2 linked regions of the Drosophila melanogaster genome follow. The protein of the gene in region 1 interacts with the protein of each later gene in a pairwise test. Each region holds a gene or a part of one and is shown on either strand. Other genes may lie near its edges. The genes, in order: Ccp84Af and Jhbp1.

Region 1 (3,403 bases):
TATGTAGGTTAATAAAATTATACAACTTTGTAGGAAATGTGTTTTAAATACATAATAATCAAATTATGATCCCAACATAAAATATTCATTATACCTCACCAAGACAAACCTATGGATACAAACTCAAAACGTATTTAATAATTTGACTAGCAAATATTTAAACAAATAAGATCAGAACTTTTATTCCCTTTTTATAAAAAATGGGTTCAATTATACACACTTACTTTGTTGTACTTTCCAAAAGAAAAACAACAAAATTGAATAAGAAGACTCCAAGTTTAAGGAAAATAGTAATTAAAATTGGCTTGGCGTAATCAATTAAGTGCAGCTGGTTATTTCGACCGATCGAAATTGGCAGAACTGAAGAAGGTGCGTGACAATTTTTACATGCCACCGGCGCCGCTCGAGGTGATGCGCCAAAAATGAATTCCAATTAGGTGTCATCAATGTCACCAAGTAGCGTATAAAATAAACGGCCCACAATGGGTCAGACATTCAGTGTTTGGCTTCGGCTCAAGACAGCAGTTAATCAAATTCATCCAACTACAATGGCAGCAAAGGTTTGTGCTACCAATTGGAGGATAAACGTTCCGGGGGACTACTAGTGGATTACCAGACTGCCTTCGCCTTTTTATCTTGGAAAAAAAAATCCTAAAAAGAGTGTAATTTATTCCGCAGATTGTTATCGCTTTGGCTCTGTTCGCCGTGGCCCATGGCGCCGTCCTTAGAACTGCTGCTCCAGTGGCAGTGGCTTCTGCTCCGGTGCCAGTTTTGGCCAAGACCGTTGAGTTGGAGGAGGTTGATCCGCATCCTCAGTACACCTACAGCTACGACGTGCAGGACACGCTTTCCGGCGACAACAAGGGGCATGTGGAGGAGCGCGATGGTGACGTGGTCCGCGGCGAGTACTCCCTGATCGACGCCGATGGCTTTAAGCGCACCGTGACCTATACCGCCGATTCCATTAACGGATTCAACGCCGTCGTCCGCCGTGAACCCCTTGCCGCTGTTGTGGCCGCCGAGCCGTTGCTGAAGGTTGCTGCCCCATTGGTCAAGGCCGCTCCAGTCGCCCCCATCGCCCCTGTCGCCTTGGCCGCACCAGCTCCCATTGTGCGCTCCGCTCCAGTGGCCGTCGCTGCTCCTCTGATCAAGTCCGCTCCCCTAGCAGTTGCCGCTCCGTTCGTCCGCTCCGCCCCTCTGGCGGTGGCTGCTCCCGCTCCCGTTCTGCGTACCGCTGCCTATGCCACGCCTCTGCGGTACACCGCCCCTGCGTACACCGTCGCCCAATTGTAAACACCCATGCGACCGCTGTTATTTTGAACCCTTGTTTTGTTTCTATGATAATAAAATGTGATTTGATATGTTAATTTGAATTGTGGTTTTATTTGGGCTTAGAAATTAAGTTATATTTTTACCAACTCAATTGAAATTCAGTTCAAGCATATTTCAAAGCTTTCTTAATTGTTCCCATGATTTGACTAGTATCCGTAAAAACTCTTATTTAATCCATCAGTTTGCTTTTAAGCAGACTAACTTATTCTTGATTCTTGAAGTGTGCATTGAAATATATTTATTATTATCGTCTAATGTGCTTTTCAATTCAAAGTATGTAATCAGTGTAGGTCAGTTCCAAGCGTTTTGAGCTGCCCGGTAACATGATATACCACTCAAGGCAGAATGGTGAAAGCATTTAATTCGCAATAGGCACCAAAATCCGAGGGTCTCTCCCAAGACACTAAGCCGCACTAGATTTGGATGCGGATTGCATAAAAGTATCTCTGGCCCCCGGCGTGGGCAGTTGTAAGTGCCCATATTCCAGTCGATAAAGTAATAAGGTAAATAGCATAGCGGTAATACAATAATAAATGTATAAAATAAAAAGTGACAAAAATGATTTGCCCAACAGCGAATTAATCAGTTTCAATTCGTTATTCGCATTTTGCTTTGCACACGTTCAGTGGGTATAAAAAGCAAAGCTCGTGTTCCAGTAAATCATTCCACAGCTTCACCGTCTTCGCAGCAGTTAACGGATAACCACCACCAGCCCTCCTCCAAGTCCAGAGCCATGGCCTTCAAGGTGGGTAATCCTTACATGAATATCCGATCCTTTCAATTACCCCTCTTTTCTCCCACAGTTCTTCGCTGTTCTCGCCCTCATCTCGGCCGCCAGTGCCGGAGTTCTTCCCGTCCAGCAGGTGTATCACGCCGCCCCCGCCGTGGCCACCTACGCCCAAGCACCTGTCGCCGTTGCCCACGCCCAGCCGGTTCTGACCAAGGCCACCGAGGAATACGATCCCCATCCCCAGTACAAGTTCGCCTACGATGTCCAGGACTCCCTTTCCGGAGACTCGAAGAGTCAGGTTGAGGAGCGTGATGGCGACGTGGTCCATGGCGAGTACTCCCTGATCGATTCCGATGGCTACAAGCGCATTGTCCAGTACACCTCCGACCCGGTCAACGGTTTCAACGCCGTCGTCAACCGCGTTCCCCTGGATCACGTGAAGACCGTGGTGAAGACCGTGGCTCCTGTGGCCGTGGCTGCTGCCCCTATCCCAGTGGCCTACCACCAGCACCACTGAGGAACTCTCCTACTGATTTGTTGAATCCGTTTGTAGATCAAATAAATTGTTGAATATTTGTAAGCTGAAAGAAATCGAAACGCATTTTTCTTTACGTCTTGTAAGGGATCTCGCTCATTAGCAGGCATTAGTCAATCAAAATATTATACATATATTTATATATTGTATTGTTAAAGTAAATTCGTAATATTGAAAAAATCTAAGAATTACAAGTTACACAAAAGCACCCAGTAAGCAACTTAGATGACCATCAAGTGGGAGCCCGCCTGGTACCAACGAAAAACGTCACTGGAGCTGCTTACTCTGCATCACCTTGGCTCCTCTTAAATCCCTCTCCAGCATATGCACTTTGTAATCAATTTTCTGCCGGTAATAAGTCATTAAGGGCCCAAATTGATCAGGCGTTCGCGTCCGACCCATTTTACACCAATCAACGAAAATTGGGGTAGACATCCGATCGGAAAGAAACGCATCGATCGGAACATTTCAATAAAACCATCTGCGTCGAAGGCTTATTGAATTTAATGCATGTAATGCGGTCCGCTCTTGAAAACCAGTTAAGGTCACTATGCTGCAGCTTTGAAGTGGCCAGAAACCTTTCGCCAAGTCCCTCGATTATTGGGGTCCACTTGAGAATGATATACGCGACATCATGGGACCCAAACTACATATTCTCCTTATCTGACCAGCCAGCCGACTTTCCAGCCCGAACAAGTGCAAATATGCCAAGGTACCTCAAAGAGGACAGTAAACAGTGGACAACATACAACGGACGACGGACGACGGACGACGGACGACGGACGACGGACAACCGACGGCGAGGG
Region 2 (5,561 bases), 1.7 Mb from region 1:
AGTGGTTCCGAGTGGAGTCTGGAAGTGTCTGGGATAACTGGTTTGCTGGTGGATTGCGTTGATCTAAGTTCCTGCAAAGTGTGTTTACTATTAATGAGTGGAATTTGCCATAGGTTTTGGTTTTTGACATCTTCTGAGCTCACCCCAACACCTTTCCATATATGCTTAGTCACTTGGATAATTAAGGCATTCGTATGGCCAAGCGAAATACTTAGTGAGGTGGAAATCGCTGAGAACAACAATTCGGAAATAAAACAATAAGACTTTGAATGTATTCTGCTTCCTCCTCTTCGCATTTCACTAAGCGCTGTCATTATTCGCAGCCGTCTTTTGTGAAGACACATTTACACATTGAGATGTATTTATAACCACCTCTACCCGCATTCAGAGCTACATAGACGTGACAACGGGCTTTAGAATCGGCGCAGAGGCCTTTGTATGACAAATAAGACTTCCCATCGAGTTCCCCGATACTTCCCCATTACTCTATTTGTTTGTGTTCAGGGCCATTGTAAACAGTTTAAGAGTTCAGTATGTTCCGATCGCAGGGCAAAGTATGGTGCCATAGTTCTCCGCAAACCTAAGTACCTGGCACACAGAGAAAAAATATGGATGAGTATGATTAGTAAGCTGGTTGCCAACTGTCTGGCTTGTTAACAAATCCCAGTAGGTTGCTCTTCCTGGTGAACTTTCATTTAGAACTCAGTGGATCTATGTTGGAACCCGTTCAGTTGAGTAGCCCATAAATAATTCATATTAGGCGCGAGGAAAGTGATTCGATGAACAACAGGTAATAGTATTTTTAGTTCTCCATCTGAACTGTGCATTTAAATCCACTGCTTATAAGCAAACATTCTACAAGTCTAGGGGAACATTGCAAGCTTAGTCAGTGGGTAGTTGGCTGGGGGGAGGTAAACAACCAATCACTTGGGCTGTGAGTTCAATTTACACACTGAATGATATTAGTCGGCAAACATGAAAGAATGGATAAGAATTCTATAATTAAGAGCTCTGGCTAAAAGAAGTCCGAGTATTGGACATTTTTCTCCCTGATATAGATTTCAAATTGAGGGGTATTACGCTGAACAGGGTATTCCAAGAGTCAGGGCTATCTAATTTCTGTTCTCGCCGTATAAGCACACAACTATTATCTCACTCTAATGGACAATTAAAGCGCCACACACATTTTTAATTAGCGACGGAGACATTTTCACGAAAACAGGTAAACGCGGCTCGCCTCGTTACGGTTTTAAGAAGACTCGAATTCAATGTATCCCAAGGTTATTGGAATAAAAGGAAGCGACTCGCTTGATGCGTTTTATGGCTTAAAAGATAAATAGGTTTGCTCCGCGAATATTTCATTTCGAATGGGTTCTGCTCACGAGCAATTAGAAGTTATCCATTTCTTTCGCAAGCCGCGATCAGGGTTCGCACGGCCGAAGGTTGACCAAATGTGCAGTTTATCTGCACCTCTGCAGGCAGGCGGTTGCGAAAATAGAGTTGCCTAATTGCTTTTATGCCACTCGACAAGTGGGCAAACAAACCAAAATCTTGCACAGAAGCCAAGAAGACAGCTTTACATTCGGTCAGTCAGTCAGTCAGTAGCCCATGCAGATTCCAACTCTATATATACATATCTATATACATATATAGATATATATGTATCTGCCCAGATCGGCAGACTCTAAGTTCTCTGCCGACGTCGACGGCGGGATGGAGATCGGCTTGGTTTGCATCTCGTTTCTGCGATCTGCCATCTGCGATCAGCAGCTTTGGGGCTTTAAAATCGGCTATCGACCGGCAAGCAGCTCGCAGTTTAAGTTCTCAGCTTCGCATCGACGGACGTTCGAGCACTCCACCCGCAGAAAGTTGATAGCTTCAGATTCCGACTTCGTTGCGTGCTGCTGCAGATTGAGATTCATATCCGGAAGTTGTTCTTGAGTGAAATGAATAAAGCGGTGTGCCTAGTAATCGTGATCCAAGCATTGCGGATGGTGCAGGCCGAGACCCGTAAGTTGTCTCTCTTAAGCGGTCGGTGGTGGTGAAGAAAATGATTAGTGAAAAGATTAGTACTGCCAATTAGAATCCGCTGAATAATAGTGCTGCCATGATTGGCCTGTTAATGGAAGGAGACTTTGATCTATTGTTATTAGCTTGAAGATGAATGACTAATAGTCTGAACTAACGAAGTGCAGTAAATACAACAAATTACTGAGCCAGATGATTACAAATTGTTTTGGGAGAATATTTAAAAATGCAAATTGTTGTTGGTGACCTGAAAAACGTAGCTTTTCGGCGTAGTTCGGCGACCCATGGCTCATTGAATAAGCCTCAGATTTTTTACAAATTCTCTGGTTCGATTTGTGTCTTTATATTAACAAGAGTCTCTACTTAAATATACACAGGCGTATATTACTTACCTAATTTATTGCGTATTAAACTGATCGCCAGGATTTTTGTCGAACTCATAAATTGCCAAGAGGGCTTAGTTGTGGGCGCATTCTACTCGTATAAAGTGGAATTAGCACTTTCGTTCGCTTCTCACACTTGCTGTGGAGCGTTTGCGAAATGCCATCACATCTTTTGGAATATGTCAAATGTCAAGTTTACAGCCTTTTCTCTCTTTCTCTCTCCTCCCCCCCCCCCCTCCACCAAAGCACTCGACGGGATGTTAATTGCGTGAGGCGACATGGTTTTGTTAGGCAAATGCAAGAAACAAAACAAAAGGGGGACAAACGGCCGGCATTTCAGCCGATGAGTTTTAGCCGAAGTTTGCTTCCGCATCGCACTCGAAACACGCTGAGCTCACAAATGTAAGCGCTCAAAATGCGGACTGTGAACCAAATCCATACTTAATTAACGACTCGCCGTGGCCGTTGGTCAGCCTTCAACTTGAAATCTTAATCGCTGCCGCTGCAGCTCGCCTTGCCATCGAATGGCGCTAATGAAACTGCCCAGGCACCAAGTCCGCGTTAATGATAAACCAGCTATACATAAATAATAGTCGCTCTGGCCGCGAATGTGTGTCATGTGCCACAGAATTGCGGCCACAACAGGTTCTAGACGTGCACTCCGTGGCAGCCTTGCCATCGAAACTAAGCCGACTCGAGATCTTGATTTTGATCTCGATCGGATTTGGAGGTCACTGCGGCATCGCGATTGCACTGAGCAGAGTCTCTGCAGAGTCGATGAACTTTACAGGAATTGAATCGGCGGATGGTGTTGATCTTCCGTTTTGTTGGCAATTCTGAGTGTTTTCTTCCGGCTGCGCTGAAAAACATTAACAAATCAATGAATATTTGATATTTTTTTATTTGTTTTTATCACCTCCTACCATCTTGTTTGCTAATTTCCAGATTGCTAAAGCCGTGAGAACTAGCAAACCAAATCTATTTGTTTGTTTTTTGGACTCATAAATTAGAACTTTTAGGGGTGACGACTTATGCCCTATGATTATAACCAACTACAAATTTTCGCATTATTTTTTACAGCGCCCTATATTAAACAATGTCATAGGAACGACCCGAAATTGGTGGACTGCTTTATCGGAGCTATTGAACACCTAAAGCCATATTTGGCCAATGGCATTCCTGATATTCAGGTGAGTGACTTTTCTCCTATGAGTGCCAGAGGTGATTTCTTTGAAAACTTGTTTTGAGTTGCGTAAGAGCAGCTCGAATGAAAGTCATTGTGAGTTTCGCACTTGCATAATGAGTGTTTTCGCAGGAAAAATCCGACGTTCACTTTCCGCACAGTGGTGCAACAATGAACACAAAATGAACCCCTTTGAAGGTCATTAGGCAGATTGTCAATTTATTTTCTCCTAAACAAACTTTGTTGTAAGGGTGAATCCCACCGAAAGCCATTACCGAATCACATGATATGATGAATTTATGATAATTGCACACTCAGGTCAAAGCCCAAATTAAAACGTTAAAATGTTTGCAATACGCGTTTAATCCCACTGTCTCGTCCCTTGGCAGCTGCCCTCTGTGGAGCCCTTTAAGATGGACACCCTTGCCCTGCAGTTAACAGAGGGTCCCCAGGGGTATAAGATCACGCTGAAGAACATGGAGGCCTTCGGGGCCAGCAACTTCAAGGTGACATCCCTGAAACTGAGCGAAGGAAGCGAGCCCTTCAAGGCGAAGATCGTGATGCCCAAGCTAAAGATTGAGGCTAAATACACGAGCTCCGGGGTCCTGCTGATCCTGCCCGCCTCCGGAGGTGGGGACTTCCATGCTAACTTCGAGGGTGTGAGTGCCGATCTCACAGGAAAGACATCCATTCACGCCTTCAAGGGCGCTAACTACCTCCACATCGATGCTCTCAGCTTGGTTCTGGATGTGAAGGATGTGAAAATGAGCATCTCAGGTGCCTTCAACAACAATCGAATTCTGCGTAAGTGTCCCCTTAATTCCCTGCCAAAATGTGAGATTTCAATATCGTTTCTTATTTCACAGTGGAGGCCACCAATCTGTTTCTGCGGGAAAACTCTCAAGTCGTTTTGGAGGCTATGCAGGCTCAATTGCAGAAAAAATTGGCTAGCGAGTTCGGCAAACTCGCCAACCAGCTCCTGAAGAATGTTCCTGTAGAGCAATTCTACGTGGACTAGGCCTTAATCCCTTAGATTGTAGTTCGTTAGTCTTATGTATATATATGTATTTAACTCTAAATTACACTCCAATGCTATGAACCAAGTATTAAATTGTACATGTATATGGTGTAAACTCTGCGCATTTGTCTGGGTCAATAATGTCCTAGATTCCGATGATAATAAAACTCATAAGTTTAATCATCAATTATTATTATTTGCATTGCGTAGAGTCGTATTCACCCTGTGAAATCAATAAAAAATTCTTGAATATGTACATATAGAAATTTACGATGGAGAATACTTTTCTTCCATTTTTATCAATTTTACAACGCCGTAACATGGGAAATCTTTGCATATACAAAAATCAACTATCCAGTCGTCATGTCATGTAATAGTACACATGACTCTACCCGTAAATTGGAATATTTGCTCAAGAAAATTGGTTATAATGTGCTGACGGCTATCTAAGGAAGTTCAAATTTGGTTGATATCTTAGTATGCGGATTAGATTTACCATACACTAATTTTAGGGTTTTGTGCTTCAGCTGTATCATCTGCATAGTTAGAAAACATCATTATATACAAAAAAAATTGGAAAAAAGGTCATAGTGTTCTAGTTTTTGATATTGCGAATACGCAATTTGTTAGCTAATACCAAACATATGCCCTTATTTAAATAAAAATATGAAAGGTATAGAAATTCAAACTTGATGTTTAAGGGATCATTCACCCTTTAGGCGGATACAAATTTATTACTTTTGCTATATGCAAAACTAAACTAACTAAATTTTATTATTAATTATTTAATTAAATAAATCAAAAGGCGCATCAGAACAATTTAATTTTATGAATTTTATAATTTTTATCTGTAAATTGTATAGTAATTGTATCGCGTTAATAGATGTGTCAAAGGAAATGTACACACAATTATCAACAGGAATATATTTGGATGCAATGAGATTGAATG

What was found.
Region 2: the proteins of Ccp84Af (region 1) and Jhbp1 interact in a two-hybrid assay, tested with the Drosophila melanogaster proteins (one large-scale study listed by BioGRID).

What each region holds. Positions count from the first base shown.
Region 1 is NT_033777.3:6,688,849-6,692,251, reverse strand, and holds Ccp84Af (Ccp84Af), read left to right. Parts: upstream 1-2,012; 5' UTR 2,013-2,065; coding exon 2,066-2,077; intron 2,078-2,135; coding exon 2,136-2,579; 3' UTR 2,580-2,650; downstream 2,651-3,403. Other genes in the region: Ccp84Ae, read left to right, coding at 549-560, 679-1,293.
Region 2 is NT_033777.3:4,963,638-4,969,198, forward strand, and holds Jhbp1 (juvenile hormone binding protein 1), read left to right. Parts: upstream 1-1,807; 5' UTR 1,808-1,946; coding exon 1,947-2,010; intron 2,011-3,491; coding exon 3,492-3,601; intron 3,602-3,983; coding exon 3,984-4,398; intron 4,399-4,460; coding exon 4,461-4,612; 3' UTR 4,613-4,848; downstream 4,849-5,561.